3 linked regions of the Styela clava genome follow. The protein of the gene in region 2 purifies or fractionates together with the protein of the main gene of each other region. This does not show direct contact. Links are inferred from orthologs where the notes say so. Each region holds a gene or a part of one and is shown on either strand. Other genes may lie near its edges.

Region 1 (10,609 bases), on a different chromosome or scaffold from region 2:
AAAAAAACTTGAAAAGTAAGCGAACAAACAGAATGCAGCAATACCCAGAAGTCGAGCGAACTCTAAATTTAAAAACGAACGTCCCCACCTACCAACAAAAACCCGGGATTCGAATCTCAAAGTTCGAGTCAAAATTACCTTCAACTTCTGAAGTCCAAGAATTTTTGTCAGCTTTGTAGTCTGAATACTTCACAGCCCTAGATATGAATCCCAACTGATCGATTGAGAAAACAATATCCTCGAAATCTTAATAAAACCTCTTTCTATACTAGAAATTATTGAAGCATGAACTGCCAGAACAATTCTATCCATACACACTGTAATCCATGCTGTCATTAATCGCTTTGGTGATTCCATTAGTTAAATTGAAGACAAATCTGGCATGATGATAATCAAATTCCAGTAGCTTCCATTGCAGTTATCCTAAACTTAATTCTACTATTTACCTGAATCCTATTTTATTGAAAACACAAAAAATCAAAAATTATGTCAAAAAGTGAAGATAAAAATAGTCCGGTCAATTATAGTACATTAATATTTTTCAACAACAAGAAATAAATGAAACAGAGCGTGACTAGCCAGAAACATACATGCCATACAGACATCTGCCAGTGCTGCTATTATTCGCTTTCATATTTCTTAGCGAGATTTAGATTGAACTGAAGTAGGCAAGACCAAATAAAATTGTACGTAGTGGCATATTGATGTTTGACAGTTGCCAATAAGGATTCAACATGCATTTTTCAATACGATAATTTATATGCTTTTTGCTTACTGGGAGCAAAGATGTAAACACAGGAAAAATGGCCACTGAGCAATGTGATTTGGCAGTATGTTTCGTAATGTTCGCCAGGGTTGTTCCAATTTAAAACATTTCCAATTTCCAATTTCAAAATTGTCAATTTTTTTCGGGGATCTTTTCTAGACTAGGTTACCGAATGAGAGAAATTTCAAAATTGTATTATGATATTTTATTTGCTTTTGGTAACCTCGCTTTCGTCATTAGCTTGCTAGACATAAAACACAGCAGTAAGAAAAGTTTCGAAAAAATGAATATTTCATTTGAAGCAAAACCACCAGCAAATTGGCAATTTCAATGCTAAACAGGTAAAATAAATTGTCAAATAAAATTCCTAAATTTTTTCAAAAAGCTAAGATGAGGTGAATAGAAATAATGGCAGTAAAATGATGATACATAAAATATGCTTACATTGGTATACTTCAGATTACTAATTAACAAAAATCAATAGAGCATGAATTGACAGGATTTTTGCACCATAATTGGGTATTACTTTTGCTGCCAGTTCACACACCATTGATTTTTAGGTTGAAATGAGGGTCAAATACACCAATTAGAAAGGACATCACATTTGTTCGAATATATATATTTGAGGGTCTGCAATATTCAGAAAGCAATTTAGCATGAGGCAAATAATAAACTCTGCCAATGTTTTGAATGTCCATGCCAGTTGTTCTCACTCAAACGATGGTGCGCGTCCCCCCCTCCCCCCCAGTGAAGCTAATTAAAAATAAAAATATTTGTTTGTTTTGGCCTGCTTTATTTTGGATATTTATATTTTTTTATTGTTTGGAGATTGCGATTCCATCCACCTACTTTCTGCGTGTTTTTTGAATGAAAAATATACTTTCTCGTTACTATCTGTTATTTGTAGACTATTGTCAGCTAGATATTTTTTAGGTTGGGCGCGAGACTTGTAAAATTCTAAAAAGGGGGCGCCGCTTAAAATGTTTGTAAAACCCTTATGAAGTGTATCTGTATAGAAATTCAAAACGTTAGCAAAACTTCAATCATTTGCTTCTTGCTGGTAGATAAATGTTCTGCAATATTTGTTTAATTTTTCTAAATTGTTCAGGCAAGGAATTTTTAGTTGAAACTACATACTACAAGCAGATTTTCAATTTGCTATTCCATTACTGCTAATGTTGCGAAATTGGTACTCCCGTAGTATGTGTACCAGGTTAGGGTTAATAAGCCATAATTTTATCCCGATTTTCCTTATTTTCGTTCTGTTATGAGTTCGGGGACAGTTTGTGTTAGCCAAGTAAATATACCCCCTGTCCATAGTTTCAGTCCCTTTAGACAACTTGACGTAAAAAAGGAAAAACAAAATTAGTTACCTCCATATTGGTACACATACTACTGGAGCGCCACAAAATCAAATATATTCAGAATTTCAGACCATTCAAAATTAAAATCAACTACAAGAGGGATTCTATGTCTATGCTTTCCTAACAATACCTTTCTTGATCTAGCAAATCAAATATTGAACATATTTCGAAACATTTCGATAAAAATTTGAAGTACAGTAAATAGGAAACAGTCAGAATTTCAGATATGGTGAATGAGAAACTATTATTTTAAGCTTTTAATGATAAACTCCCTAAACTGGAAAATGACTCAAATTAAAATGAGTAAAAGGTACAAGCTTGTATCGGACTGCCCCAGTCCTTCATAAATGCTAAATCAGAAAATATTACTATACTGAAAATAACTAGTATAAGAACTATTATCATTGAAAACTCGTTCGTGACGCAGTGGCAAAAAATGTTGTTCTATATCGATGACAAACAAAACCAATAAACTGAAATGCTGAAAATTTTTACCATGAGAATACCTCCTACAATAGGAGTGGAAGTGGTGACTCCTCTTCGGCCCATCAGGCTAATCAGGCTATGGGCCGCGGCCCATCAAGTTGTGTAAAGAAACTATTCACTTGGCTAACACAAACAGTCCCCAAACTCATAATAAAACTATAATGTAAAAAATCTGAACAAAATTTTGCCCTAACCCTAACCTGGTACACATACTACAGGAGTTTATTTTTTGGTTCGAATATTGACAATTTTGTAAAAATTGAAAATTTTGGTAAGATAATTGAATTTTTCCTGACGGGGCCGCGGCACATCAAGCTTGTGACCCCGGCCCATGGGTCGTAGAGGAGTCACCACCCCTGTAGTACAATAGTTCCCACTGGAAGATGTTCCATTAATATAAAATTCGCCCTACCGCTAACGTTTTTTTGGCAGTAATTTTCTGGACCAATTTTTCGTGGAAGGGATACTAATGGATGAAATTGCATGAAGATTATTTACAAAAGTCCGCAGTTTTTTTCATAAAGTCAGTTTCACCAATAAAGGTTTTTATTAACTGCACTCACTACGCTGCCGAACCAGGACTTTGCAAAACTTCCCACTGCTTCTGTATATCCAGGCCGCGCCACACTTTGTTTATTTTCTTCCTTATTAGGGGAATCCCCCAAGTCCTCTTCTAAATAGGGGGGTAACTCGTCTGATCTGTCTGCATCATCGAAGGAAACGAGGACTTCCTCCCCGCTTTCGTTCTTCATGACTTGTTTCGCTGTCATTTTCCGTGTGTTATGGATTGCGTGGACAAGACTTTCCGCATGCATGTCAGATCGGGCTCGGATAGTACATCTTTGCGACGCCATGTTAAACGTAATCGAAATAACGCCAGTTACTCGTAGGAGCTCATTTGTACACTCTTGTTTTTTATCCTCCCCATCAAGTCCTTCGATTTGGAGCATTATGACTTTAGCTTTTTTGTTACCCCCCAAGAACTTCACTGGTTCTTTGCCAGCTTTTCTAGCGTTTCTCATCCCAGCCCTGGTAATAACACCACTGTTATTTTCAACAGACACTGGACGGACATTACATTTGCTTAAAAACAAGATCTCCGACGCTAATTTTTTACAATCATCATTAAAATTTTCTTTCCCAGCAATTTTGTTTAGCAAACTCTGCAATCCGACAGTATTTTGAAAATGATGAAGCTGGCGTTCGTTGCGTACCGCTTCTTGTGCAAGGTAGCGCAATGCATGCAAAGCTTCAATAATAACCACTGAAGGCTGCTCATCTGGGTCAGTAAATATGAGCAAAGAATTTACGTCGTTCCGAAGCATGTATTGACGATTAGTGTGCACACTGGCAAGCCTCCGAAGTTCTTTGACAATTGATAATGAAGTTGCCGTCGTCGCCATGATGCTGTATGATCGATATTCACAAAAATGCCAGCAGAATTAAGTTATTTTATTAAACTACATTGAAAGTGCTTATACACAAGATTCAACTAACTCTAGAGACAGAGATAAAGGGTCTGGTATGGTTTAGTACCACATGCACTTCTAGTTGGCCTGGCTCAACAATTTTTGCATATGTCAATCCTAACCCCAGCCTGACTACATCACCAGAAAAGTACGTCATTTCCACGTCACAGTGGCGTAATGAGGCTCACCAAAGTATGCGGATGGTCGTCCAAAGCGCGCAGACGATCACCTGAAATCTAGCAAGCTATTTCTCTCGTTTTCTCGTCACTGGATCACGATAGGAAAGAGATCGCCGACTTCAGCGAGTTTGTTATCAGCGACGCAGATGCCATTTCGGGCTATCGTAATTTTTAATTTAGCAAGCCCTATGACGTGATGGTGACATAAATTTTGGATGTCATAGCCAGGTGGTTGGGGTTAGGTATAACTGGTCTCGTGTAGTTTCGTACCTAACGTACTTCTAGTAGGCGTAGCATAACAATTTTTTGATATGTCAATCGTAACCCCCATCTGACTACGCCATCCAAAAATTATGTCACTACGACATCACAATCACGTCATAGAGCTTGCCAAATATAAGTACGATCGCCCGGAAATGGCATCGGCGCCAACAATAAAGAACTGACTAACGTCATCGATCTCTCTCCTATTGGGATCGTAGCGACTTTGGTAGCAACGAGAAAACGAGAGAAATAGCTGTTCGATTCAAGTGCAGTTTTAAGTATTCTGTGGCGTCTGCAGCTGCCTCAAAACCATGGCGGTATTTCCATACCATGGCCGCTATGGCCAAACCTATGGCAACTGATTTTTTAGCTGCCACAAACCAATGACGAGCTGCCGTTAGCGCGGCAGCAAATTCAAAACCAATGGCAGGTAAAATTTTGCTGCCGTAACCACGGCAGGTGGGCCGTAACGACAGGGCTGTCCCTTATGATGACAAATATTGGGTAAGTTTTTCTTATGGATACAGTTTTGATGGATTTGGGGTTAGGGTTAGGGTTTAAGTAGATATAATTCCGCATGATCAATTGAAATCTGGTACATTATTTTGTGATTATACCGTAATACTGATACGTTAACTGAATAGCGCTATAAAACCATGGCTGCCACGGTTCATTCGTGGCAAGAGCTGCCATGAAGTGGTAAAAACTGAGCCTCGTTCGATTTTTCGTACCGGTATAGTTTGAGGGCTCTATTACGTCACTGTGACGTCGTAGTGACGTAATTTTTGGATGGCGTAGTCAGGTGGGGGTTAGGAATGACACGTGAAACAATTGTCATGCTACGCCCACTCGAAGTATGTTAGGTACCGGTACGAAACTACATAGGTAGGCTACCAGTACGGGGTAGGTACGGTACGGTACCGGCACAGAAATAGGATAGGATTTACATATTTATCCCGGGGGAGAGGAAAGCCGATAAGACAGCTCATCTATATGGTGAACCACGGCCTCTCGTCCAGTTACCGGTACCATTCCAAGTCGGGTACCGGTATGGGTTTAGTTATATTGTTTGTTTTCGGAAGCATGGACTTGACGGTGGAGGAAGCCGTAACCGACCAGCGGTTACGTGAACCACCCAACGACGGTGAGGAGTCCAGCAATCCTCTCGCACATAACCATCCCTGCATGAGATTCGAACCTGCGAACCCACGCAGAGTAATTAGAGGTGCGGTGGATAGCGTATTGCTAACGCTTAGTCCTTTGAGCCACACCGCCGCGCCGAAATATGAAAATCCTGACCTACCGGTATGCTACCAGGTAGCGTGGCCTATTTATTTTTCTCTCCCGTAATGATGGATAAATTATAGACACTTTAGGCTAAATATTTTGATATCAAATTAATCTAAGCTGGCATTCCATTTTAAACTTTTCCGTGGCAGAAAAATTTGACAACACGCAAAGCGAACAGACAGCATAATGAGCATAAGCTAAAAGCCCAAAGTGGTGAAATGCGAATTCTGGTTGTGTCATTTGCGCGAACAAACTTTGTAGTTTTGCGAGAACTTTGGGCGCGGAGTATTTGTGTAAACCGTAAATATTTGTGGTCAGCAATTTTTGCAGGAATGCATTAACCTATATGAGAAATCATTTTAAAAATGTATATTAAAGATAATAATCCTTTATGCAAATAGATTTTCGCAAGAACGAAATTTTACGATTATAAAATTCAATGGAAAACCTTCTGGGAGAAGACCTTACTATCTGTTAGTTGGGGCTTATCTTGTGCTGGATATTTTTGAGGTTAGGCGCCAGACCTTTTACATTTCAGAACAGTGAGATTGAAACTACTGCCGTTGAAAAAAAGCGAGCGCCCGATAAGGGACTTGAACCCTTGACCGTTGGATTAAAAGTCCAACGCTCTACCGACTGAGCTAACCGGGCTTACAATAACAACGAATCAGATTTGAATCTGAATTCAACTTGCTACGTTTGCAATTCTCATTTCAATTTATGCTATGTTACTCCAATAACACAGCACTCGCGAATTTTATCCACAATGAAGAATTTCATTCAAAGACATTTGAAATTTATTTATTAATTTTGCTTCCACTCAACACATTACTTCGTGATTGTTTGGGTGAGCGTGTTGGGTGACCGAACACCTACTACTTCTTTTATCAATACCTTTCCATCTAAAATCTGTACGTTTCAAACCTTACTCTAGGTTTGTTCGCTTTCCCGATTCTATAATCAGTTACTTTTACTTTTGTTTTTATCTATTTTTTTATCGTCTATTGCTGATTATGGAGTCGAAATAAACTTATACTTATACTTATACCTTAATCAAGCTATCTCGGCAAATGTAAACAAATCCCAAACGATAAGAATAGCCTAGACGTGTCGGCTGAAAAAGCTTTATATTTGAACTCACCATGCTAGCGGTGTGTTTATGTTACACAAGTTAGACGACCGAATGATTTACGTTGGTATTTTTTTTTTTATCTTTTTATACTTGTTCGTGTGTGTAAGATTGGTAAATTGGCACGTGTATTTTTTACATGTTTTGACTTTATTTAAAGCTTTACCGGTTTTACCAATAAATTTTGTGTTCATTGTTTGTGTAAGTTATTTTTTCGGGGAAATCAAACTAATTTTTTAATTATATCCACGAATAACTTGAAAGGTCCATGAAAGATTGCACAAATTTAATCAGAATTTACATCGCCATTTCGTGTCCAATAAATCTCAACAATGCAACGAAAGACAGTGAAACTTAGTTTAAATTGATCTGAAATTGTCCGGGTGACAAAATTCTATTTGTCGTTGTCGAACTATCAAAGCCCAATATTGCACCTCAAATAGCGAATCTCTTATAATGTAACCGTTCATTCAAAATATCGCACATGTTTGCAGCACCTTAAAGTGTTCTCCGGGTGAGGTTCTTTCTGGTTGTTTCCCCGAGCATTGATTTCCCTATTTATGTCCGTAACCATGACCAATTGGGAATACGTCAACAATGACGTAACAATTGCAATTTATGTAGCCGCTCGGACACTTCTTTGTCCAGACAGATATTGATGCACATGTGTAAACATTGCTTTCTTATATCGATTTTGGATTTAATTTGTCAGTTTTCAGTAGTGTTTCCGAAAATGAGTTGTAAGTTAAATAACCTGATTGCAATTATGTCTTTTGAGCAGCTTTAGTTTTGTTGAAATATATTCAAAAATTAGTCCTAGAAAAACTGTGATATAAAAATATATGAAGAACATGTAAACCAGTTCGCAAGCGCCAACTCTCCTAAACACTTTTAAAATAAGCATCAAAATTTTGGTAAAATAGGGGAAAGTTTTCTGGGGTCAAGGGTCAAGGAAACACCCATGTCTTTCCATAACTGTTGGAGGGGATGGTTATTTTAGGCGAATTCAGTAAACCATTCACGGACATGGGCCAAGGAATAGTTCACCGGTTATTTGTGGATACATAAACTTTGTGCTGCTGCGAACCCGGTTAGCTCAGTCGGTAGAGCGTTGGACTTTTAATCCAACGGTCAAGGGTTCAAGTCCCATATCGGGCGTTATCTTTTCCCTCGACGATTGTATTTCAATCTCACTGGTCGTAAAATACTAATAAGGAAATTGAGATAAAAAAAAAGAACAACAACGGCATAGTAACGAAACGATTGATATAAAAGTTATATACAACACTTCAACCACTTTTTGAGTACTGAAAAAGGAAAATCGATTTGTTCCATTAGTCACAGATAGGAGTGATTTTTCTCGGCAATAACTATCATCCCAAACAAGCACGGGATTTCTCTCTATATCATGCTCTCTTTATCTATATCATGATAAATTATAGACACTTAGGCTAAATATTTTGATATCAATTCAATCAAAGCTGGCATTCCATTTTAAACTTTTCCGTGGCTGGCAGAAAATGTTGACAACACGCAAAGCGAACAGACAGCATATTGAGCATAAGCTAAAAGCTTAAAGTGGTGAAATGCGAATTCTGGTTGTGTCATTTGCGCGAACAAACTTTGTAGTTCTGCGAGAACTTTGGGCGCGGAATATTTGTGTAAACCGTAAATATTTGTGGTCAGCAATTTTTGCAGGAATGCATTAACCTATATGAGAAATCATTTTAAAAATGTATATTAAAGATAATAAACCTTTGTGCAAATAGATTTTCGCAAAAACGAAATTTTACGATTATAAAATTCAATGGAAAACCTTCTGGGAGGAGACCTTACTATCTGTTAGTTGGGGCTTTTGTGTGCTGGATATTTTTGAGGTTAGGCGCTAGACTTTTAACATTTTAGAACAGTGAGATTGAAACTACTACCGTTGAAAAAAAGCGAACGCCCGATAAGGGACTTGAACCCTTGACCGTTGGATTAAAAGTCCAACGCTCTACCGACTGAGCTAACCGGGCTCACAATAACAACAAATCAGATTTGAATCTGAACCCAACTTGCTACGTTTGCAATTCTCATTTCAATTTCCCAAAGATCTAAAGAGGAAAAATGATGAGGCTGTTTATATGGAACTATGTTGCGCCTACAACACAGCACTCACGAGTTTTATTCACAATGAGGAATTTCATTTAAAATTTATTTATTAATTTTGCTTCCACTCAACACATTACTTCGTGATTGTTTACCTTAATCAAGCTATCTCGGCAAATCTAAACAAATCCCAAACGATAAGAATAGCCTAGACGTGTCGGCTGAAAAAGCTTTATATTTGAACTCACCATGCTAGCAGTGTGTTTATGTTACACAAGTTAGACGACCGAATGATATACGTTGGTATTTTTTTTAATCTTTTTATACTTGTTCGTGTGTGTAAGATTGGTAAATTGGCAAGTGTATTTTTTACATGTTTTGACTTTATTAAAAGCTTTACCAGTTTTACCAATAAATTTTGTGTTCATTGTTTGTGTAAGTTATTTTTTCGGGGAAATCAAACTAATTTTTTAACCTATTATATCCACGAATAACTTGAAAGGTCCATGAAAGATTGCCCAAATTTACTCAAAATTAGGCTTACCATATATCTGTGGCAAAAAAACGGGACAGTACGGATTGGGCAAGCCAACCTTTGTTCGATTTCGAAGCTCAATATTAGTGAATTTTTTCCATATCCTTGTGGGCAGAATACGGGCGTCAAAATTAGCTCTTAATCATATTAAAATATCCACTATTGGTTTTTGACTTCATTAAGGGAAATCGCTCTTTTATTCATTAGAATATTTTTTTCACCTTTGATGATTCAGCGACAGTACGGTTGGATGTTAAATTAATGCATGGTGTTCATACTTCTTATCATACTATGGCATAACAGTTTCTATCTCTATCTTAGGGTTGCCAACCGTCCTTTATTTCAAAGGACAATCCTTTATTTGAGATTTTTGTCTTTGTCCTTTTTAAGATGATAATTGTCCTTTATTTTTTCCAATATCGATAGTTATAGTACTGTGGCTGCAGGCATTCGATCCCTTCCTTAGTCTGTTGATGGAATGCTAGCAGACGAATCTAATAACAATTCAATGCAGCGTGACTCGTGTTTCAATATTTTAATAGCATGAAAATCCAGCTTCCACAGGACAAAGTCCAGAAATAATGCAGTAATGTCATCAAACATGAAATATTGTGTTCCGGTTAAATGCTAATTGATAATTATAATGTTGAAACTGCGGTAACTGACATTGAATTCGGTGCTTCTCTGGCAGATTATTATAACAAACTGTGTAAACAAGAACATAACAATTAATTACCTCTTTGTCAAAACAATATGCAACTGAACTCAATACCAGTACCGGTACATATCCTAAGCTCATATTTATACATGCAGATTCAAACAACAAAATTTGACACTAGAATAATATTAATATAGCCATACACGTCTGAACTATACAAGGACAGCACTAACTCGTGTTACAGGCCAGAGACAGGAAATGACATGTTTTCCAGAACATTCTAACTAAACGAAAAATTCTAACTATGACGTCATACAATCTCGCCTGTCAATCATTAAAGACACTGCTGCAAACCGCTGCAGTAACATGGCTCTCCTG
Region 2 (11,085 bases):
TAATAAAAAAAAACATCTGGACTCTTTGATTTAAAAATGGATCTGAGTAAAAATCAAATCAAAAGAATAGTGAGAAATATATACGGTAGTACTTACAATCCTTGAGAAATTGTTCTGTATCCTCGTAACCCAAATGTCATGAATTTCCCATCTGAAGCGCCAACTGTGAGCTAAACAAATAATTTGGATTTTATAAATGTGTATACCAGGGTGGTCCAAGATTGTCGGCTCCGCGGGCCACAAAATTATTTTTGCATTGTTTGCGGGCCACAAAAGTGCCAAGAATAGGTAAACTGTGCAATACAAAACCAACACTTTTATTGTGCAAACACATAGTTATCAGGCATAACTATTCCAGGCTAATAAAAGCAGCATTCGATTTTTAGTTTTCTCTGAAGCCTATATTGTTAGCATATTGTTATTATTATTACATTCCCGACCAAAAAGTTAGAAAACCAGATAACAATTTAGACTGACAAGCACATTATTTAACTTCGCTAGTTGCCTCAGCTAGCCATAACACTAGCCAATTCAGTGACATTAGTGACGACAATATGTCGAAAGATTTTTCTGATAATTTCATGACGAAACCACACGAAATGCGATATTTCGATTACTCACCGAATGTGAGGCGTGCCACAGATAATGAAGCGGCAGGCCACATGTGGCCTGCGGACCTGGGTTTGGACCACCCTGATGTATACTATAAGAATTTGTTAATACCATTGTTTTATACAACTTTAATTGAGAAGAAAATGTAAAAGCATAATACATGTTCACAATTCCTATTTCATCAATACAAAATGAAAGTCATATCATACCTCTCCCCACATTAGCGGTGAGATTACTTGTCGCAATGCAACAGATAGATCTCCTCTACCATGGCCATTCTTCGATTCAAGATTCCCAGATATTGTTGCAGTGTGAGAAACAGTGAGAGGTGCCTTAAAAAGTAGATATGAAGGTATTTTGACACTGCACATCTCAATTCTGACAAAACATCGACAATTGAACTGGGAAATACAGCTCCAAACACAGAGAACCATAAGTCAAAACTAATAGTCTAATATGACGAGAGCACTTGGCTAGTCTTGTGTAGTCGAAGATATTTGTTTTCCAACTTCTGATTCTGACCATTCAAAAATACAACGGGTTAAGAGAAACAAGGCAGTCTCTGAATTCAACAACATTCTGACTTGGGAACCAAGTCCTGAATCTGTGATAGGAAACTTTGAGCTACCAAAATGCGCCGACAAAGAATCACAACGTTCAAAGATTACTATATAATGGCTACATTTCTACATGAGGAAGCGTTTTTATGAAACTCAAAAAGCAGAAGTAACATAAATAACCGCCTAATTGCTATTACCTCTACGCTTTGAGACAAAGATAATTTAGTAATTTCAGGAACTGCAACTGAGTCATAAAATTCATCTTCTTCATAAGGTTGTCCGTCAAACAATGATGTTGCATTCACATTCATTACAAATTGTCCCTGCAGCATAACAGAGATTTATTTTTTTGAAAAAGCAATCTTTAATCAATGATTAAATGCACTATATTAAAAAAATACGACTCAAGATCATGATAATTGCTTCGCGTAAGATTACATAAGTCAATTAGACCAAAAGGTGCTACAGCACAAGCCAGATTTAGAAACATTTGAAACAATAATTCAGGCATGTTATTAACTTATTAGTATTAGAAACAAAGCAGACGACAACATTGGAAGATGGTGCTATAGATAGGTTTTCAAATAACCGTGCCAACAATGATTTCATAACATTCATTCTTCAGCCAGCACGCACATAACATGAAGTCATATTCTATTTTTGTGAAATTTGAATGTTACAATATTTAGAGAAAAAGGTAAATTACAGTTGGGTGAGTTCTCTCTTCCAATCTTTGCATTTCCTTTCTTCTTTGTAACCTTTCATATTCTTCTTGAATTTCTTGTGGTGTTTTCTTCCTCTCCACAATCTTAAAAATAGAGGGACATCATACAATGATAGCAGTTCTCATAAAATAAGACTTGTCAGAATTAAGGATGAGCAGAAACAAGATTTTGGGTACTATTTCACCACTGATTTCGTATTTTCTTCGATTCGATATCGTAGGTTAGGTTACGCTTACGATAAGTTAGGTTATGTTGTTAGATTATTTCCTCACTTTTAAAAAATACTGAACCGAAAAAAACAGACATCTATTCAGCAGAGCAACTAAACTACTTAAACTACTTTACAGCACCTAGCTTGGAGATGGGATTTTTTATGCTTCATTTTTTTTCTTCCTGTTAAGATCTTCATGTTGAGATCTTTCCCTCACCTAGTAAATCCCATGTACGACGAGGCAAATTTGTTTTAATTAGGGTTACTTTCGATATGATAAATACAAAGAGAGTGGATACAGTATGGTGAGGCTCTACCTAAACACAAAGTTTGTCGGAATAGTGTGAAGGAGTAAATTGTTAGTTACCAAACATAGATTTGGACAAAAGCAATTATTTTATTAAACACAACAACAAAGTTAACATCAACAATTCAGCAAAACTAAAATAAATCCCCTCAGAGTTCAACAAGAAACAAAAAAATCAAATACCTGCCATTCTGCTTCTAATCCTTTTCTCCCATACATATCATAAATGTATCTCTTATTTGGGTCGCTGAGAACTAAAACATATTGATCATGAATAACAAATAAAATTGAGAAGACACAAACAGCCAAACGCAAAGATGACTCATCTACAAGCAAAGTTAGGGAAAACCAATGGAATGTCAAGATATACTGAGACTATATAGATTTATAGTAGTGCATTATGAGGAAGCAAATGCCTATTGACGAGAAGCTTTTGATGTCAGACCGACTAAAAAAAATTTCTCCAGTACTCCCAACAATTGCATCATCTCGTATTTTCTTCAAAATAAGAACGCACACAGAATGGTTTGAATGTTTGAACATCTTCATTTTCTATTGGATTATTCCACAGCAAATTTTGGCTGCACATTATTCAATCAACTCACTTTTGTTTGGCAACAAACTAAATTGAATTCACACATACCATCATATGCATACTGGACTCTGTTGAAAACTTCTGTAGCTTCTCTCCTGTATACTTCATTATGTTTGTCTGGATGATACTGCATACATAATCTACGATACGACGTCCTCAACTCATCTTGACTAGCCTGTGACAATCAAATAAGAGGGACAGCATGAAGCAGAATTCAAGTTAAATCACAAATCCAAAGAAAGAAATTTTTATTTCAAAAGGCACTTAATACCCAAAATCAAATATAAAGTTCAATAAATAAAAGCTAAGACAAAATAATGATGTACCTGTCTGGACGCATTTAGAAGACTATAGAAGTCTTCATTATCTACTATATCTTCTAATCCTTGTGCAGACATGTTAAATCCAGAATTATTAAATAAAACTTTACGCAAAAAAATACCTCACATATTGATAGAACCACTGAAAATAGCAAAGAACGTTACTATTATTAAACATACAGTATTATCATTGACAAACTTCAAGCTGAATTATTGTTCACTGACTTTTGTTCATTCTCGATGCAGTGAAAAAATACAAAAAACTTTGAACATGAAACAAAAAAGCAATTAATTGCAAAACAGTTTGCCAAATCATTGTATTAGTGTTAACACTAATACAATATTATGGCGAACTGCTTTGCATGTCTTGATGTTAGAGGTTAGGACCTAACGATTTTAATTGACAAGAAGAGATGTTATTTGGTGGAAGCTCCTGCATCTTGAACCTATTTAACCTGGTAATCAGGATAATAGCATTGATGATTTTTGACGTAGGTCTTACACTGCAACACAACTATAATTTACAATTTATTGCAGATTGGAACTTAGAAAAGTGCAATGTAGTAATTCCATCTAAGAGAGAAATTCTTAAATAGTCAACTGAAAGTCTTAATATTAATTTATTAATCCAGTATCAGTTCACAGATATGTAAAGAAAAAATGTTCCAATAATTTCACTCACAAATAATATGTCAGGATACTGATATAACATGAATTACCGGTATATATGGAATAAATGTCAAAAATGTTTCCAATATGAAGCAGGAAAATATAGAAATTATTAAATAGATTACAGTGTGTTATGTAACTCAATTCTCATAAGCATATAGGAACATAGATTCGATTCAAAGAAATATACTTCAGCCGAATATTCTTGAGCACCGGATATGCACGCTATAAGTTTTTTGCAAACACTGACAAATTAGTATTTAGTATATCTCTCAACTTATTTTATATAGATCTACTGAATGTGAATCAGCAAATAGTTATTTCAGCCAACAAGCAAATGTTGCATATTTCCAAACATTTATGATATATATGTACTTAGAACCTATAATACAAGTGCAGTTTTAAGTATTCTGTGGCATCTGCAGCTGCCGCAAAACCATGGCGGTATTTCATTACCATGGCCGCTACGGCCAAACTCATGGCAACTTGACTTTTTAGCTGCCACAAACCAATGTCGAGCTGCCGTTACCGCGGCAGCAAATTGAAAACCAATGACAGGTAAAATTTTGCTGCCGTAACCGCGGCAGGTGGGCCGTAAAGACAGGGCTGTCTATAATGGTGACAAATATTGGGTAAGTTGGAACGTTTTTCTTATGAATACAGTTTTGATTGATTTGGGGTTAGGGTTAGGGTTTAAGTAGATATAATTCCACATGATCAAATAAAATCTGGTACACTAATTTGTGAATATACCGTTAATACTGATTACTGAATAGCGCTATAAAACCATGGCAAGAGCTGCCGCGGCTCGTTCGTGGCAGGAGCTGCCATGAAGTGGTAAGAACTGCGCCTCCTATAATAAGCATTAAAATTTAATCTTCGTTCTCTTTTGATTGCTCACTTTTTGTCCTTTGATGGCGACTTATTAAATACATAGCAACACATATTGATATTAGAGCAGCTAATAAATAGTCTAATATTACTCTGGCATTACCAGATAATGCCATTTTTATTGGCTCATCATCAAATGATCTGGATTCAGAATGGGATTTTGACGCCTTTTTGTTTTGATATCTTAGAGCTCTATCAAACTCGGGGTCATGCCTTGGTATATTATATTCTCCGGATTTAAATCTATTATAATCGGATGATTTTCCATATTGCTGGAAATCATATTGTCTTCTTGTGGACGGATTGCTCAACACCTCATAAGCTTCAGAAATTTTCAGAAAATCATCTACATTATCCGATTGTCCAGTATCAGGATGGTGTTCTTTGGTTTTCTTGATGTATGCTTCTTTTATTTCAGATGACTTTGCATCACTGGATATACCAAGTGTGTCATAATGAGTTGCATATGTTCTTCGCGACAAACAGCAAAAATTCCTTGAAAAGTGGAAGCATTTTCGTACACTTTTTTGGCAAATTTGTGTCTTCTGACAACACATATTAAATATTGCAATCATTCTACATAGACTATACAAATTGACAAAAGTTATTCATAGCGTGAGGATTATTTCTGTTAAAATGAGAAACAGAAATGAATCAATTTATTAATAACGCTAAAAACCTGACAACCAGCACACCAAACCGCCTTATACTGTTGTAGTCCAGTAGGTCTAATTCAATTCGTTTATTACTCCAGACCGCTGTGGTCCATATAAAAATGCCCATAATACCGTACTGTAATACAGTGTGGTTCAAACTTGGTCATTACTGTGGCCGTGTCACATATCTGCATCTGGTGTTATAGGTAACAATTAGTCATAGTAGTAGGGCATTTGCGTGTTGACTTTGATGTTGCTTACTTACAAAAAAATAAAAAATCTTTGGTAAATCACTATCGTCATTGAATTGAGTTGCGTTATGACTAGCTGAGACAATCAGTAGCAAAAGCAGAAAAGTGATGTTGATAGGGTAGATCAGGGGTTCCCAAACCGCTGCCTGCGGGCCAGATCCGGCCCGCGTAAAGATTTAAAATGGCCCGCCGAGCTTACGTGAAATAGTGTTCAACAGATTTTATTTCTACCTTTATGTGATCTAGATACCGCTAATTTATGTCATTATCCGAGTTCAAGCACATGTTTATCGTAACAATTCAATTATACCAGTATATCAATTATGGGTACCGGTGTTAGGATGACAAAGGACAGTAATTTAGTTATCAGCCATATAGGAAAGCTCAAAGATGTCAGAAATCAAACGAAAACTAGACTCAGAAAACTGACATTTCTTGAATAAATGGCAGTATTCGTATTACTCCATTGAAAAGTATCAAACTTTAGAGATTTGTCTACTTTGCCAACGAACTATTCCAGTTCTGAAGGAATACAACATTGAGCGCTATTATGAGTCAAACGAGCATGTTTCAAAAAAAAGTCAAATGAAAGTCTTGGGTGCTACATTCTTCCGGCCAGCGAATATCTTTCTGATTCTAATTTTGGCCCGGCCCGCGACCAATAAAGTTTGGGAACTCCCGGGGTAGAGATTTAGTAGAGTGAGATTTATTGCCACAAAAACAAAATCAACACTAATATAAACAATAATAGATAATAATACAATAAAGAAAATATTTCATCAGTAATAAACAGCGATTGATTATTGTTTAGATGAATAGGGGTCTAATATAATTTAGTACCACATGCACTTACGGTGGGCATAGCATGACGAATTTTGCCTATGTTCTTCCTAACCCCCACCTGACTATGACATCCAAAAATTACGTTACTACGACGTCACAATCACGTCACAGAGCTTGCCCAAGTATAGCTACGATCGACCGAAACGGCATTTGAGCCGCTGATAACGAACTCGCCAACGCCAGCGATCTCTCTCATATCGCTGTATCGTTATCGTTGCGACCAACGAGAAAACGAGAGAAATAGCTTTAGGCCGCGAGCCGAGGCCCTGAAAAGCGCCTAGAAAGTGAGTTTCGTAGCGCACATCAGGTAACTACCTGAAAATGATTTTAAAATGTTCCTTAAAAATTTAGTAACAAATATTGCCTTGTTCCCACTTCCAAAAGTTGCACGTTTTACGGAAAAGAAGCTTTTACTACAAGAAATATGTGTAGGCTTACCATAAATCTGAAACAAAAAACCGGGACGGTGCGATATGGCAAACATTCGGCCAGTCTTTGTAATATTGAAACGTCTACCATGTCATTAAGGGTATATACGGCTGTAAATTTCTACTGATCATTGAATTAGGAAAAACACAAAAAAATAGTTTGTACGAGTATTATTTATTTAGACCAAAAGTAGGGACGGACTAAAAGTAGGCACTTGCAAATTAGGCACTTTTTTAGGCACTTATTTAGGCACTTTGGAAAAAAAGTAAAAAGGGCGTAATACCTTTTAAAAACATAATTAATTAGTTAAAAATGGTCAAATTAAATGTTGAAAACGCAAATTGCAACGGGCAAACTCAATAACAATAATTAAAACGTAGTATAAAAGGCAGTCGCACGCGCTTGGTCACCACATATGCTAGGCACATATTTAGGCACTTCAAAAAATAAATAAAATGGCAGTTATCACTAATAAAAGACGGAGACATAAACATATTACCCACACTGATTAGCCTGGGTAAATATCCAATAGATGCATTTGAGTCTAGTACTGGAATTTAGAAATAATAAATTGTTACCGGTAGGCACTTATTTAGGCACTTCGGAAAAAAGGTGAAATGGACGTAGGAACTCCTAAAAAGGTAATGAATTAGTTCAAAATATTTAAATTAAATGTTGAACGCAAAAATTGCAACAGTTAAATCCAATAACGATTTTAAAAACGTAGTATTAAAGGGAGACGCACGCGCTCTGTCACCACGTATGCTAGGCACATATTTGGGCACTTCGAAAAAAGAAGAAAATGGCAATTATCACTAATAAAAGACAGAGAAATAAAAATATTACCCACACTGATTAGCCTGGGTAAATATCCAATAGATGCACTTGAGTCTAGTACTGGAATTTAGAAATAATAAATTGTTACCGGTAGGCACTTTTTTAGGCACTTATTTAGGCACATCGAAAAAAAGGTGAAATGGGCGTAATAACTTTTAAAATGATAATGAATTAGTTGAAAATTGTGAAATTAAATATTGAACACGCAAATGGCAATATGTGAACCGAATAACAATATTTAAAACGTAGTATTAAAAGGAGTCACACGCGCTCGGTCACCACATATGCTAGGCACATATTTAGGCACTTCGAAAAAAGAAGAAAATCGGAATTATCACCAATAGAAGACAGAGAAGTAAAAATATTACCCACACTGATTAGCCTGGGCAAATATCCAATAGATGCACTTGAGTCTAGTACTGGAATTCAGAAATAATAAATTGTTACCGGTAGGCACTTTTTTAGGCACTTCGAAAAAAAGGTGAAATGGACGTAGTAACTCCTAGAAAGATAATGAATTAGTTCAAAATATTTAAATTTAATGTTGAACGCAAAAATTGCAACAGTTAAACCCAATAATGATTTTTAAAACTTAGTACTAAAGGGAGACGCACGCGCTTGTTGTTGTTGCTGTACCAGGTTATGATTTTTAAGTTTCAGGTATATATTTTTGTGTTTGGCCGAATCCCATGTATCTCTTGAAAAATTCAGGTTATTATATATGGAGAAAATGTATGCCCAATATTGTGGTATTATCATACTGTGAGGCATAGAGTTATTGTATAGATCTTTGTTAATAAGTTTCATTTTCGATCCTAAAGAATAGAGGCATTCATAATGCCAAAATTGGTTTGGGATTTGACCGGTAGCAAAACACTTCATCTTTTCGACCTGGCACGCTTCCACTTTCGACTTTACGTCCACCATTGCTATTCCGCCATCCGCCCATGGTTGTTTTAAGGTTCTTCTTCCTATGGCTTCTATCCTCTCAGGATACCATAGGTATTTGAATACCTCACTCTCCGCGCGTCTCATGGTTTTCAAAGAGATTGTTTTGACTCTTGCGTGGAACGTAATTATGGACATTATCAGCGAGTTTATAGCAATTTGTTTGCCATGCCAAGTTAAAAGTCTAGGCTTTAAAGAGTTTAGGGTCCGAATTAATAAAGTTATGATTTCGTCCCACATTTTTACTGGTTTCCTATGTCCAAATTGTATGCCCAAAATTTTGACGTTTTCTTTTATATATTGGCTATACGGAGATTTTGCGATTAGGTTATGTGCCGAATTGGTGATACAGAGTATTTCAGTTTTGTCCTGGTTATTTTTTTGTCCTGAGGCCAAATGAAATTTGTCGAGTTCCCGAAATATTTCCTGTATTGAGGTCTGGTCTCTTACAGCAAAGGTGATATCGTCGGCATACTGATCTAATTTGTGCTCATGACGGCCTAATTTTATTCCACGGATGTTTGTATTTCGAAGCACAGATCTTGCAAAGGGCTCAACAACGATAGCGTAGAGCAACATACTCAGGGGACAGCCCTGTTTTATGCCGCTGCAGATGGTAATTTTTCTCGTCAGCCGACCATTAACGTCAATGCGACTTTTTATATTCGAGTACATACTTTGGATGATGTTAAGAGTCTTGCGACCAAGTCTAATGTGTTGCAAGACATTGAATAGGAATTGATGGTCAACCTTATCGAAGGCTTTCAGGTTGTCAATTAATATTATTGTTCCGGGGGTGTTCTTTATTTTGCAGTGCCGAATTATTGCATCTATATTATAGTGAATGTCATACATGCTTCTGTTAGGAAGAGAGCATTTTTGGGTCGGAGTGATTATGCGGTCCATGATGGGTGTGAGTCTTTTTATTAAGATTTTAGAAATAATTTTATAGTCCATATTGAGGGTCGTGATTGGTCTCCAGTTTTTAAGGTTTGATTGGTCATTTTTTTTATATAATAATTTTACTTTTGCAATTTTGGAAGATTTTGGAAAGTGGCCGAAACTAAAAATGTTATTAATGAGCTGTGTAAATTGGCGTTTGATTAAGTCCCAGAAAGTAACATAAAACTCCTTTGATAATCCATCCATACCGGGTGATTTGTTGTTTCTCAAAGAGTTAACGGCCTCAAAAACTTCCTCGCTGGAGACATATTGTTCAAGAATGGTATTTTCATCCGCTGAAATTTGAGTGGGTCTCATCATTGATAGGTAATGTTACTGTTGTACGTCATTGGTTTGATGTTTGTGGCCCCAAAGGTTAGTATAATAGTTCTCCACCATGGATAGTACTTCCTCCTCCTCGGTGACCAAGGTGTTATTTGGAGAAATTAACCCTTCTATTGTTGTTTGCTTTGCTCTTTTTTTGATATTCGCATAAAATATTTTCGTTGGCCGTTCATTTTGCTCTAGTGTATCGATTTTCGCCATTAATAGATCTAATTGTTTCTTTTCATCAAGTAGTATTTTCAACTCTGCTTTTAGTTTTTCGATTTTGATGACGTTTTCTTTTAACCCTTCTTTTATGGTAATATCTATTAATTTGCGAATTTGGGAGATATTATTTTTCTTGTCCTTGGTTCTGTTTTTGGCATATGCGATCGAAATTTTTTGAATTTTATGTTTCAGATGATCCCACCAGTCTTGCAAGTTTTCATAGTTTTCTATTTCCGTCAAAGCAAAATCATAAGAGTTTTTTATTATTTTAATATAGATCGGGTCTCGGTAAAGTACAAGGTTGTCCCTCCATGTCCCTTTTCCCCAGCGGATTTTCCTAATTTGTTTCAACTCAATTATAGGGCAAAGCAAGTGGTCAGATATGGTATTCGGTATATGGCCAATGGTTGAGATCAGATGTTCCAAATTGTATGTGTTGTAAATTTGATCAATCCTGCGTCCTTGTGTTCCAGTATAGTAGGTGAATATCTGTTTTTGGGGATATTTTTTTCGAAATGTGTCGTTAATATTATTTGTTCTGATGAAATTTTTAAATATCTTTGCAGACGGGCGAAGCTTGAAGCTACTTATTTTCAGAGTGTCGATCTCTTCCAAAATCAGGTTGAAATCCCCCACTATGATGAAGTCATAGAAGTTACAGTAGTTTTTCAAGACAGTCACCAAACTTTCATAAAAAGCCTTTTTTGGAGGCCCATTTAAAGCGGGGGCGTAAACGT
Region 3 (11,499 bases), on a different chromosome or scaffold from region 2:
TGTAATGTAATCATTCAAAAAAATGTCATATGATATAAAGTATAAACTACAAAAACATTTCGTATTGTCAAATATTGATATGGTACTGTTTATCTCCTTGCACTGTTAACTTTTACATTTTTTAAGAAGCTATGTTTACTAGCTATGCCATCTTCACCTTGTAATGCACTGTGTTATATTTGCGATATTACCTATCTATTTAATTTTAATTGATTAGGATTTCTTTAGTTCCTTCCTTGAATACTTTTAGAACAAAATCATATTTTAACGGTGCATGGAAACTACAATCTATTAGATTATGATAACATTAGATCCCTAACATCATGGATCATGAAATAGTATAATGAAAGCTGTGGTGGAATTCAAAAACTTGAAAAAAATCGCCTTATTTAAAAAAGATTCGTTATTTAAGAGCATACCCTAACCCTATAAACCTAACTTTTTTAATCACAAATACTTGTTTTACAACAAAATGCTCTTGTGATTTTTCCTATGTAAATAACCCTTTCCATGCGATTTTTATTTTTTATTATATAATCGTATTTGCTACGCCGACTTTATGCATTTGTACCCCCACAACTAATCGATCGACTAACGAAAAAGTAATGATCCTCTGCTGCCCACTGACGGCTCGTTGGAAAGCTTATTTAAAGAGCTTGCAATTGGCGATTGAAAAAAAATTTAGGGGTGGTCTGAGTCACAAACCGGATAGAAAAAAGGCATTTTTTTTCCTGGGTGTTGAAACTTCAAACCGTGATAAAAAATAGAAATATTCGCTAAATCCTTTACTGTTACCGCTTCTTGGTTGGCAAACAATATAATATTGCTGTAGCAATTTCGTTATCTAACTCAAAATACTTTGGTAGATGGAAGGGATAATATGTCTTCTATTACCACCCAAAAAACACCGGAATTTGCATAAATTTCAAAAACACTCCCTCGTTCCGCCGCAAATAAAATTCCCATGGTAAACGAAAGCGAGATTTACCGTCGCTTATGTTAATCTCGAAGAAGACTTCTTATCAATAAACTAAAACCCGGAAAAACTAGACCAACAGTTTGTGACCGATTGCTAAATAAAACAGTAGAGTACATCAACGTACCCGCCGCAATCTAGCGAGTTTTGTCGTGGGTACGGCACGGAAAGGGTTAATACACAACTTTCGAAACTCCAAATGCAATACCGGTAACAGTTTTCAGCCGGGGTGCATATTACCCATGTGCTGCAGTCATCCAATATTTAAACAAAATCGGGTTCGCTCATTACAATGACATTCCAGAAACAGGTCCTGAACCCCACCACTGAATATGGTATGAAATCAACAATTGTTGCAACTGCCTAAAACCATTAAATCATAGCTCATAAACCTGTGTGAATTTAGCTTTTAAGCATGGTCCGCTCTATCAATGAAGTGTGTTTTGAGATCATCATTGTTGTTGTATTGCCTTATATTTATGTTATTCAAAACGTTTTTAATGTTGAATGTTGCACTCAAAATAATAAACCCATGTTGAAAGTAAGAAATTTCTTTTTAATGTCATTTGGATGGGGCTATCATGTGAAATAGCTCTGACAGGGTTCTCAAGAAAAGTGTTTCTTCCATACCAGTCGAATAGTTTGCGACTACCTAGATTTTATCAAAGAGCCCTTGTTTTGTAGATTGATCCCTACCTCATGGACGAAGAGAAGGAAAATTCATACTGAACAGAATTGCGGGGTTGCCCAACCAAATCCTTTACATTTCACTATAACAAAGACACCAAGCACCAGATTTAACATATTTTTATCAGATTGACATTTAAATAATCAAAAAAGAAAGCAATACTTTCAACTTATTAAAGCATGCACCCTGATCCTAGTGGCTAACACATAAGATTTATTATTCACTATGTTGGTGTCACAGGTTTGAGATCTTTCTGCCCACCACTTACTTCACAAAACGCTTCCAAATTTTCTGGGCTATTTTGAAAAGGAAATTCTAACTGTTCCATGGCTCATTACATATCAATGGCTGCTTGCACAGAGCCTGGTCTGGAGAAAGATGTGATAAACCTCACTGACAAATAAAAAAATCAAATAGCATTTCACCAAAATATTACAGTTGACAACATAAATTTCAAAACATGCAGATATAAACATTTGTAAATCTGAGTTTGATGAAAAAAGATGCTGCTATAAATTTCGAGCATTCTCATACTTCTAGATTTGCGGCGATACTTGACGCAGATGCAAGGCTTGATAAAACTTGCAAGGTTTGTTTGGTTTCAAGCAATAATCTAGCTTCTTTAAGCCATCCCTCAGCAATTCTTCTTGATTCACCTTTAAGTTGGTTCATAAACCTTGCAGCTTGCTCCAAATCACCACGATCCAAACAATACGCCGCATAGGACAAAATTTTAAAAGTATCTAACTCTTTGGGATCCAAATTCTGTGGAGGCTCTGCTTGGGCACGATTTACGATTAAAAGTGACTTTAAATATGAAAGAAAATATGAAAAAAATGAATTTCTTGTTTCGTTGATCAGAGACAGACGTCTACACATTTTTGATACTTGCTTGAAAGCAAGACGTATCGCTTCTTCAGGGTAAACACCAGAGTCGCTAGCACGCTCGGGAAATGCTTTGATTACTTCTAATATCTGCGACTCTATACCATCAACTTGTGAAATAGCCTGTAATTCCTTTTCCAGAGGAACTGGTTTACCGTCATCACCATATTGCACAGCAATTCGAAGAGCTTCGCAAGCAAGCCATAACTCTTGTGCCTTCCGAGACTCATTCTCAATGTGTGCTCGACCGTCAATTGCAGTTTCAATACCCGCTACTTTTGAAAGTGCTTTGTTCAAATCAAACTGAAACTTATCCGTTATTTCATGCAATTCATCTTCATACTTTTCTTTTACCTTTTCCATTTGTGCTAAGAAATTTTCCTCCTGTTCTTCCAGTTTTTGTTTCATTTCCATATCCAGTTCTTTCCTGACTTGCTTTTCCTGTATTCCAAGCATGTCAGCAAGATGTTCAGAATGCGCTGCAGCTTGCCGTTTCAGTTGCACTCTCATTTCTCGTTCAAAAGTTTGTCTTGCTTCTTCAAGTTTTTTTTCATATTCGACTTCACTTTCCTGCTTTAGCAATTCCATTTTTCTTTCAGTTTCTATAACAGTCTGCTCGTCCCACTTTTCCCTTGCTGCTCGTACAGCCATCTCCATTCTGCTCACTGATATTGCACGCTCCTCTGCAAGTTCTCTTTGCAATTGATCAACTCTACGATGCGCATGGGCAATCAGGGCATTAAGATCGTCTTGAGAAAGCTTCTGGCTCAATTTTCGCCACCCAGACTCAACGTTAACATCAGGCATGACAGACATAAGCTCCTGACGAAATTGTTCTTTTGCTGTTTCGATCAAATCTTTGTATTGTGAAATAACATGTGACTCTGAAAGCTTAATATTGACTTCTCTACAAGCATTTTCTAATTCCTTGCGCATAGCATTACAGTTTTCTTCAGCACTAATTATTTTTTGATTTGCATCTGAATTATTGAACCGTTTAATTTCAGATATAATCGCACCCAATTTTGATAATTCCTGTCGAGCATCTTGGCTTAGGTTTTCTGCCTCCTGCTGGAGTCTCGATTTTTGCTCAAGAACTCTTGAAACATCCGTCCACTGGTTTTTCTTTTCCTCAGAACTGGTTTCCTTTTCATCCATAGCACTTTTAAGAAGAGATGTATGTAAAGCAATCGCTTTAGATGCTTCTAGGTTACTATCGATAGCCTCCAAGCAACGTTGTGCACAAGATGACAAAGCGTCATCCAGTATTGTCAATATTGCAGCAGTATCTGCAATAACATCTTCCTCCAGTTTTATGATATTATGTGAGACTTCTTCAGGTGTACGTTCTAAATGATTCCCATCTTTATCTGGTAAAGAATCACTTGGTGTTGTAACAGGCAACAACTGTGGTGCATTCTGTATTTCTTTTTCACCAATCTGTTCAGTTTCAACGTCCGTCACTAGCTCTTTTATTGGTTGTACCTCATCATTCGTTAAAGTCGGCATTTCTGGAACTGGTTCAGATACTGCTTGGGGAATATTCACTTCAGACTCTGACAAAATACCACCGGTTGCAGAACTTTCATCTTCAATTGGTTGTTTAGATAAAATTTCCTGTCTCTCATCATGAGAAGCAGTCACTTTTTCATCTTCCAACTTCGCTTCAGTCTTTTCTTTAATTTTTCTTGCCTCTTTCAAACTTGATTCAAAGACATCACCTACTTTTCTGTTGGACTGTTTAATTTTCGGGACAGCTTCTATCGATTTATTCAGCGGCCCCAAAATGGGATTAAATAAGTATTTTGCAGGTGGAAAATTCAATTCAGCACTTTCTCTGAACGACGGAAACTGCCAAGCAGCACCAACTGCAACTAAACCACCAGATAAAACTGTTGCGCCCGCAATAACAACGGGGCTGCTAGAGTTAGATGCGGTAGTTGATAACTTCCTTCTCCCGGTAATATTTTGATAAGTCCTCCGAGGCCATCCCAACCGATTTCTAATCCGCAACATGACGATTTACAAATAAATACACGCCGCTCACTGAGATTCGAAGTCCATCGGCGTCTGACACTTGTCTGCTTGTAAGAAACAAAACCAACAAACCTCGCGGAGTGAAGTCGCATGTGTGACCGCTGCGAGTGTCGCTGCTCAAATTTCGCATTTCGTGGAACCGTAAATGAAGACTTACCGTATACCAGAGCCATTATATAATGGCTTTGCTAATACGGTGGAACGATGACAGAATTAATGGGCATGAATCAAATCTTTTCGATGTTTAACCGTAAATATATACTACTACGGTTTAACCGTAAATAAATAATAATAACCTACGACAAACATAAGTTGACCGATGAAATACCTGGAATTCAATGAATATAAAATAAATTTGGAAGTTTTAAAAATCCTCTTGGTCAACTTCTTTACACGAATCGTAATACCAACGCATGCAAAATCAATATTCACGCTACCGCAGACACTGTAGTTCATATAAAATTTGGGCGCTCCCGAAGTATGTGCACCAAGATGGCGCACAACCTGAACCCTAACCTGTTACACACACTATGTTCAGGTTGTACGTCATCTTGATGCACATACTTCTGGAGGTCCGAAAATTTGTATAAAGTGTAAAGCTTATGCATGGCAATGTAGAAGTAGACGTATTTGATGTATTGCAGTAAAGGATGGTGTAACAAAAATAATTAAACTCTTGTTGTCTCCTCTCACTTGTTGAGGCATTAAATGTAGTGGCGAGTTTAAATTGCAAAAGAAGATAGATGCTCGGAATGTATTGAATTCCTACAAGCACATAGACAAAGAGAGATTTATTGATTCGTCAACCAAAAACAAACGTGAACAAAAGCAAAAATATACTAATAAAACAAACGAAATGTTTATTTTTGTATTGACAGCAGATTGAAAAAGACAGTAAACAACGCATCCGATTCCATTATCATTTTGCGGTTACTGTTCCCAATTTCTATGCATACATGGCGTGATCGACTGCGGCACACGTTGATCTAATGAACAGTGTGCAATAATAAAACTAAATTGGTTTATCAAATTTGCACTTTGGAAAAGCCAGTAAGCGCACGTCTTCAGTCCGAAATCATATGATCAACAAAACATATGTGCTTTCCTTTCCCGTGGAATATGAAAAGAACACTCTGTCTAAAATCTAAGTTGATATTACGTACCGTGTTTCCCCGAAAATAGGACTGGGTCTTATTTCAAGTTTCTTCCAAAAAAATACCACTAGGGCTTATTTTCGGGGGATGTCTTATATTTTCATTTATCAAAAACAAAATTACAAAGTATAGAACTACGAGATTTTTAAATGTACAAAATATGAAAACTAATATCTATTTACTTTTGAATAACACGTTTTCAGTCAAAATAACTGTAAAACATAGACTATCAATCATTTAAAACGTGTAGGAGGGATTTCTTGCTATCGACTGGGTAAAAATAAATTTGCGTTGTTGACTAGGTCTTTTAACGGGAGGGCTCATATTAAAATCATTTTTAAAATTCAGGCTAGATCTTATTTTCAGGGTAGGTATTATTATCGGGAAAACACGGTAGCACGCTTATGTAATGATAATTAACCCAACATAGTCTCTAATATATAGCTTATAATTTATTTAAATCAAAGGCCATAGTCATTGGTTTTAAACATTAATTTGTGTTCCAATTATACGAATATTGTAAACGTGCCAAACTTTAGTAAGCTTCTTAAATTTCACATGCAGCCTGCCTGATTTTTTCCTTTTATTTTGAATTACAACTACAATGAATTACAAACGGTAACTCTCAAAAAAGTAGTAAATTTAACCACAAAATACCATACATGTTAGTTTGCTACAAGTATTTATTTTTGTTTAATTTATTAAAATTTTACAATTGAACTATGAAATGTGTTCAAAACAATAGGCAATATCCAGACTGGTAATGCCCATCCACTTTCTCTAAATACACTTAAGTTGACGTAGCATGAAGCAGGCTGAAATCGAAATTTTCAGTGTCTAAAAATTATATTTTTCGCTGGAAGGCTATCACTTTCATTTATCGTTTTTTTGCGTGCTATGACGCCATCACAATTTGCCACTATGCTACGTGTCCATATATTTGAGCATAGCTCTCTTGTACTATATAAAAAACGTTACCAACAAAATAAGCCCATTGAGTGCATAATTGTAAGAGCAATGGCTGTATATATTACCATTAAAGTCTTTTGCTGAAATTGTATTGATGGATAGTATAGCTAGGCTTACCATAAATCTGAAACAAAAAACCGGGACGGTGCGATTTGGCAAACATTCGGTTGATTGCCAGTCTTTGTAATATTGAATTAGAAAAAACACAAAAAAATAGTTTGTATTATTTATTTAGACCAAAAGTATTTGTTCGCAGATGGAACCCTTCTCAAAAATTCTTGTTTTGATTTTGTCATAAAACTGATAACAAGAGACATCACCATTAAATTTGCAGGTTACGAGTGCTTTTATATTTTCTTCTGGCATTCTGAACCTGCTTCCAGGCCAGAAAATTTTAACAATGAAGAAAATCTGTTCAACAGATGCCGATGTTCCGGCAAACAAAATCAATGAGTTTCTGCAAATTCGAAATGCTAATATTTCTGTTAGAAAAAACGTTAAACATCTCTGTCCACTTAAATTCAACCGCAAAGTGAGCCAAATTGCATTTGAACCATGCTCAGATAAATATCTCTTTATCAGTATTCGTCGAAAAGTGCATCTCTATTCAAAACCTGACTAGCTAACCGAACATATCATTTATCCATTTTGCAAACCAAACACTTTAGTCCAGTTTAAATCACCCTTCGAATTTGTCCATATGTGGGGCCCGGGGAGCATTGTAGGCTTCATCATGCTGCTTTGTATACCGCAAACATTCTTTTTAAATACAGTTACGTCGATTTCGCCAGAGCGTTCCAAGGATTCCAGAAGTACAAGTTATTGCGACGGAATTAAAAGACTTCACCCTTTTTCCTTCAAATTTAGCTTCACCTCTGACATCTACGGCAGGGGTCGGCAACCTTTTGTCGCTCGCGGGACAAAATTAAGGGTTGCGAGTCATTGTCGGGCCGTACATATTTTTAGAAAGCTGGAACCGAATGGATGATACTTTTTATAATAAAAATCAAGCAGTAATACATCCTCATTGCATCGCAAAAAATTGCATTTGAATATTTTCAGCGCCATTGAACCCTTTGAACTTCGCATCATTTTTCTGCGTTTTGTTGCCATTTGTCTAATTATAATTAAATTATAGGCTCATTAAACGAGTAGTTGTGAATTATATACTTGTTAGGTTATAATATAATTTAGTTTAAAAAATATAATCGTCAAAACGGCTGTTTTGTTACTATAATTTAGTGAAGCGTCACGAGCCGGATTATAATATTCTGCGGGCCGAATCCGGCCCTGGAACCGTAAGTTGCCGACCCCTGATCTACGGCATTAGTATTATCTTTTTTCAAAATTAAAATAATTTTGTTGAAGTAGGTGAGCTGGCAAAGGATGAATTTCAAGTGAAGTTCGTACGCTGGAACATTTAAGCATAAGAGTAGGACATCCTTCTTGAGAATTTGAATAACTTATCAAGCTTTCAAACAGTTCCGTAATCCTTTGCAAAGCAGGTAATAAAGGGAAAACCGAGTGTTGCCATGCTGTAATAGCCGTTGATACTCACTATCAACAAAATCGCAGAATGATTTTTTCTCTGTTACTCGGACCAATGACATGAAACAACATGATAGGCGACTCTGACGTCACTCCATGAGACTACAGGCGAAAGATTGTATTTCCTGATACGCTCCAATGCACATACTTTTTGCTTTTTGCTGATGACTCAACGCCATATCTTCGAGGCAAAAACTTGCCTGAACTTTTGACCAAGGCAAATACCGACTTAGAAAATATTCAAGCTTGGTTGTCTGCGAACAAACTCACTATTAATGTCGATAAAACTAAATATATGATATTTAGCACCCCGAAGCAAAAGTGTCCAACTCTGCAACAAAATTTGGAATTAAATGGAATAAATATAGAAAGAGTTAATCAGACTCGCTTTCTGGGTGTAATGATCGATGATAAATTGTCTTGGAAACAACACACCAATATGGTTCTATCGAAAACAAGGTCGTCTCTTAGTGCCATTACGAAAATAGCCAACTACTTAAATACATCTTGTTTAATATCTCTATACCACTCTCTGATAGAAAGCCATATTCGTTATTGTGCCTCAGCTTATGTTCATCGCCAATCGTCCATTCTCAAAAAAATTCAAAGTGTTTGCAATCGCTTTATTAGAAGAGTTTTTCATAGAGGTAATCGCGAAAAAATTGATGACTTATTTAAAGAGCATAGGCTACTACGAGTTGTGGATTTAGCTAAATTCGAACTATGTAATATGATGTTCTCTTGTCACATTGGAGAGCTTCCGACCAGCCTGAACAGCCTGTTCCAAGCAAACCCAAATTCAAACAGCAGAAATAAAGATAATTTTTTTATTCCATTTGTCAGTAAAAGTATTTCACAAGAATCAATCGCAGTATGTGGACCAAAAGCTTGGAATTCCCTACCCGATGACATCAAAAATTCAAAATCGAACTCAGAATTTCGTTCCAAACTTAAACAATATATATTATCATCATATTAGCAATTTTCTCTGCTTTGAACATGTTACTGTTTGGAGATTATTTTTTTTAAGGTCTGTTCAACACTGAAAAGGAGAGCTGTTGATTATTTGGATTGAATGAACTATCAGGAAACTGTCCTCCTCTTCAGTCACCATAGACCAGCTGACAATTTCAATAACTCCACAGGATACTTCACCCGGATTCAATATAGAACAATGGACTGAATTAATAACTAGCACACCATTCTAATTTCATTATCATACGTAATTAGACAACAACAAAAGCACAGCAATTTAGGTTATAGATAGAATGCTCAAATAGTAGGGAGTAGGGACAATGGTTTTTGTTTGAGTAGCATGCTGTTCATTTTATTTCCATTGTTGCTACCACTTTTTCTTCTGCTCATCCCGGGATACCATATAATTTTATTATTTTAATTTACATTGGAAAATCCATGACATGGTAAAATGGCTTCTCTTTATAACTTATCATTCCCTATCCCACTGTACCTTTATACCTTTCTAATCTTCTGGCTGAAATGCAACCATAATAGGTTTTGTGGAAATGCTTTTTATTAATTTTTTTTATTTTTTTTTTGAAACTTCATTGTTTTTGGCTGAATCCAGAATTTCAAAAAAAACCTTATAATAGTGAGTCATTTGATACATACCTTTATTATCATATTTCGCCAAAACCTGTAGGGTCACATTTTGGCCAGAACAGCCATAGACCACTTATAACACTGTCGCCCTTGAGTGGTGCATACCATATATGTACACACCCTTTAAACTTGACCATTCCCGCGTTTTATAGTATGTGGTATCATCACTCAATGGTATTGTACATTCATCCAAATTCTTAATTTTTTTTTTTTTAGAAACATTTTTTATTACTATATTCATATGCATTGTGTTTCATGTTGTGTTGTGTCTCTATTTATAGATGTTGTTTTGTCTAACAAACTCCTTTGTACAAACAGTTTTGTACACTCCACCCATATCCCTGTTACCGCTTCCACCCACCCTCCTCGCACAACTGCCTGTATAAAGGACCATATTGTACATATTTGATTTACCCTATTAAAATTTATATAAATCAAAGGGGTGTATGCCGCACATCTGTGTTTTAGGCCAATATGGTCTTGTGCATACATCCCGTCTTCAGTATTTATAAGTACTTACTCTTTTATATTGCTTTTACGAGACGAATAAACATACATACATACATACATACATACATACATACATATTTCTCGTCGCCTTTCGCGTCCGTTTTCCGCTCGCTTTTGCTACTCGGCGTCTTTTTTACGTGTAGTACCTGCCTTTTTGCGCCTGTAACGAAACAAAATAATCTCTATATAAAATCTCCTTTCAACTCATTAGAAAATTTGTACTTCTTTTATGGCATTTCGACAACTTAACGGCATTGTAGTTAACGCCAGAAAACGCATTAAAACATATACCGATTGTGACATAACAATAGAGCAATTTTTTACTCTCTGAACCAGCGAAGTGTGTCGCAAAACAGTGGTAAATGGGCTGCCACCGTTAAAAAAAATTGTAACATTAAGGAATATGAATTTTTCACCCATGACAGCCGTACTGACAAACCGGGACATTTGAGTCAACCGGCCGGGACGCCGGGACAGCTCGTCAAAACCGGGACTGTCCGGGCTAAACCGGGACGTATGGTAAGCCCAAGTATAGCTCTTAGCATTATAAAAAAAAAACTTGACAAAACCGAAATATATCGCATTCAGAAATTAACGATTAAATCTTACGGCGAAAATATTTCTAGTTTTGGATGCATTACTATAAATAATTCTATTTAAAACGCGAGCTGATTGACCGTAGATCGTCATCGTATTGCACTTTGTATTATAAAAATGCTAAAATTGGCTATAGTGAAACATAGTTACGAAGAAGTATGGCAACAAAATATGGCGAGGCTGGAGGCGAAACGTAAACCATGCACTTGTTGAACATGACACGTCCTTACATTAGTAGTCACAACTGTTTTTTCTCTTAATGAAAAAATATATTCACAATGATCCAAATTGCTTATACTCGAGTTTTTTTTAAACTAATTTCTAAAGTGATCAGAAACGTTGAGAAGGAGATTGTTGCAAAGTACATAAAAGTGTCCGATTTCTAATATTTATTCTTAGCGTCGCCACATTTTGAGATTTAAGTTCGAATGTTCACTTAATTTAAGTGATGATATGATTTTATGCGGACATATAATATTACTTGCAAAATAAGAATGCGTAAATCATTTGAGAAC

Evidence for each region.
Region 1: the proteins of dnaJ homolog subfamily C member 11-like (region 2) and armadillo repeat-containing protein 1-like purify together in Homo sapiens (affinity purification with mass spectrometry; 4 studies listed by BioGRID and IntAct, counting the BioPlex papers as one, with this or other methods). This does not show direct contact. The link is inferred for Styela clava from reciprocal best matches to the Homo sapiens genes DNAJC11 and ARMC1.
Region 3: the proteins of dnaJ homolog subfamily C member 11-like (region 2) and MICOS complex subunit Mic60-like purify together in Homo sapiens (co-immunoprecipitation; 3 studies listed by BioGRID and IntAct, with this or other methods). This does not show direct contact. The link is inferred for Styela clava from reciprocal best matches to the Homo sapiens genes DNAJC11 and IMMT.

Annotation. Positions count from the first base shown.
Region 1 is NC_135261.1:2,118,794-2,129,402, forward strand, and holds armadillo repeat-containing protein 1-like, read right to left. Parts: upstream 4,160-10,609; 5' UTR 4,020-4,159; coding exon 3,147-4,019; 3' UTR 2,982-3,146; intron 2,664-2,981; 3' UTR 454-2,663; downstream 1-453.
Region 2 is NC_135253.1:1,589,264-1,600,348, forward strand, and holds the start of dnaJ homolog subfamily C member 11-like, read right to left. Parts: upstream 4,874-11,085; 5' UTR 3,409-4,873; coding exon 3,337-3,408; intron 3,186-3,336; coding exon 3,059-3,185; intron 2,670-3,058; coding exon 2,599-2,669; intron 1,981-2,598; coding exon 1,879-1,980; intron 1,496-1,878; coding exon 1,370-1,495; intron 945-1,369; coding exon 822-944; intron 171-821; coding exon 97-170; intron 1-96.
Region 3 is NC_135250.1:12,329,407-12,340,905, forward strand, and holds MICOS complex subunit Mic60-like, read right to left. Parts: upstream 4,768-11,499; 5' UTR 4,566-4,767; coding exon 2,193-4,565; 3' UTR 1,768-2,192; downstream 1-1,767. UniProt on the Homo sapiens protein: Component of the MICOS complex, a large protein complex of the mitochondrial inner membrane that plays crucial roles in the maintenance of crista junctions, inner membrane architecture, and formation of contact sites to the outer membrane.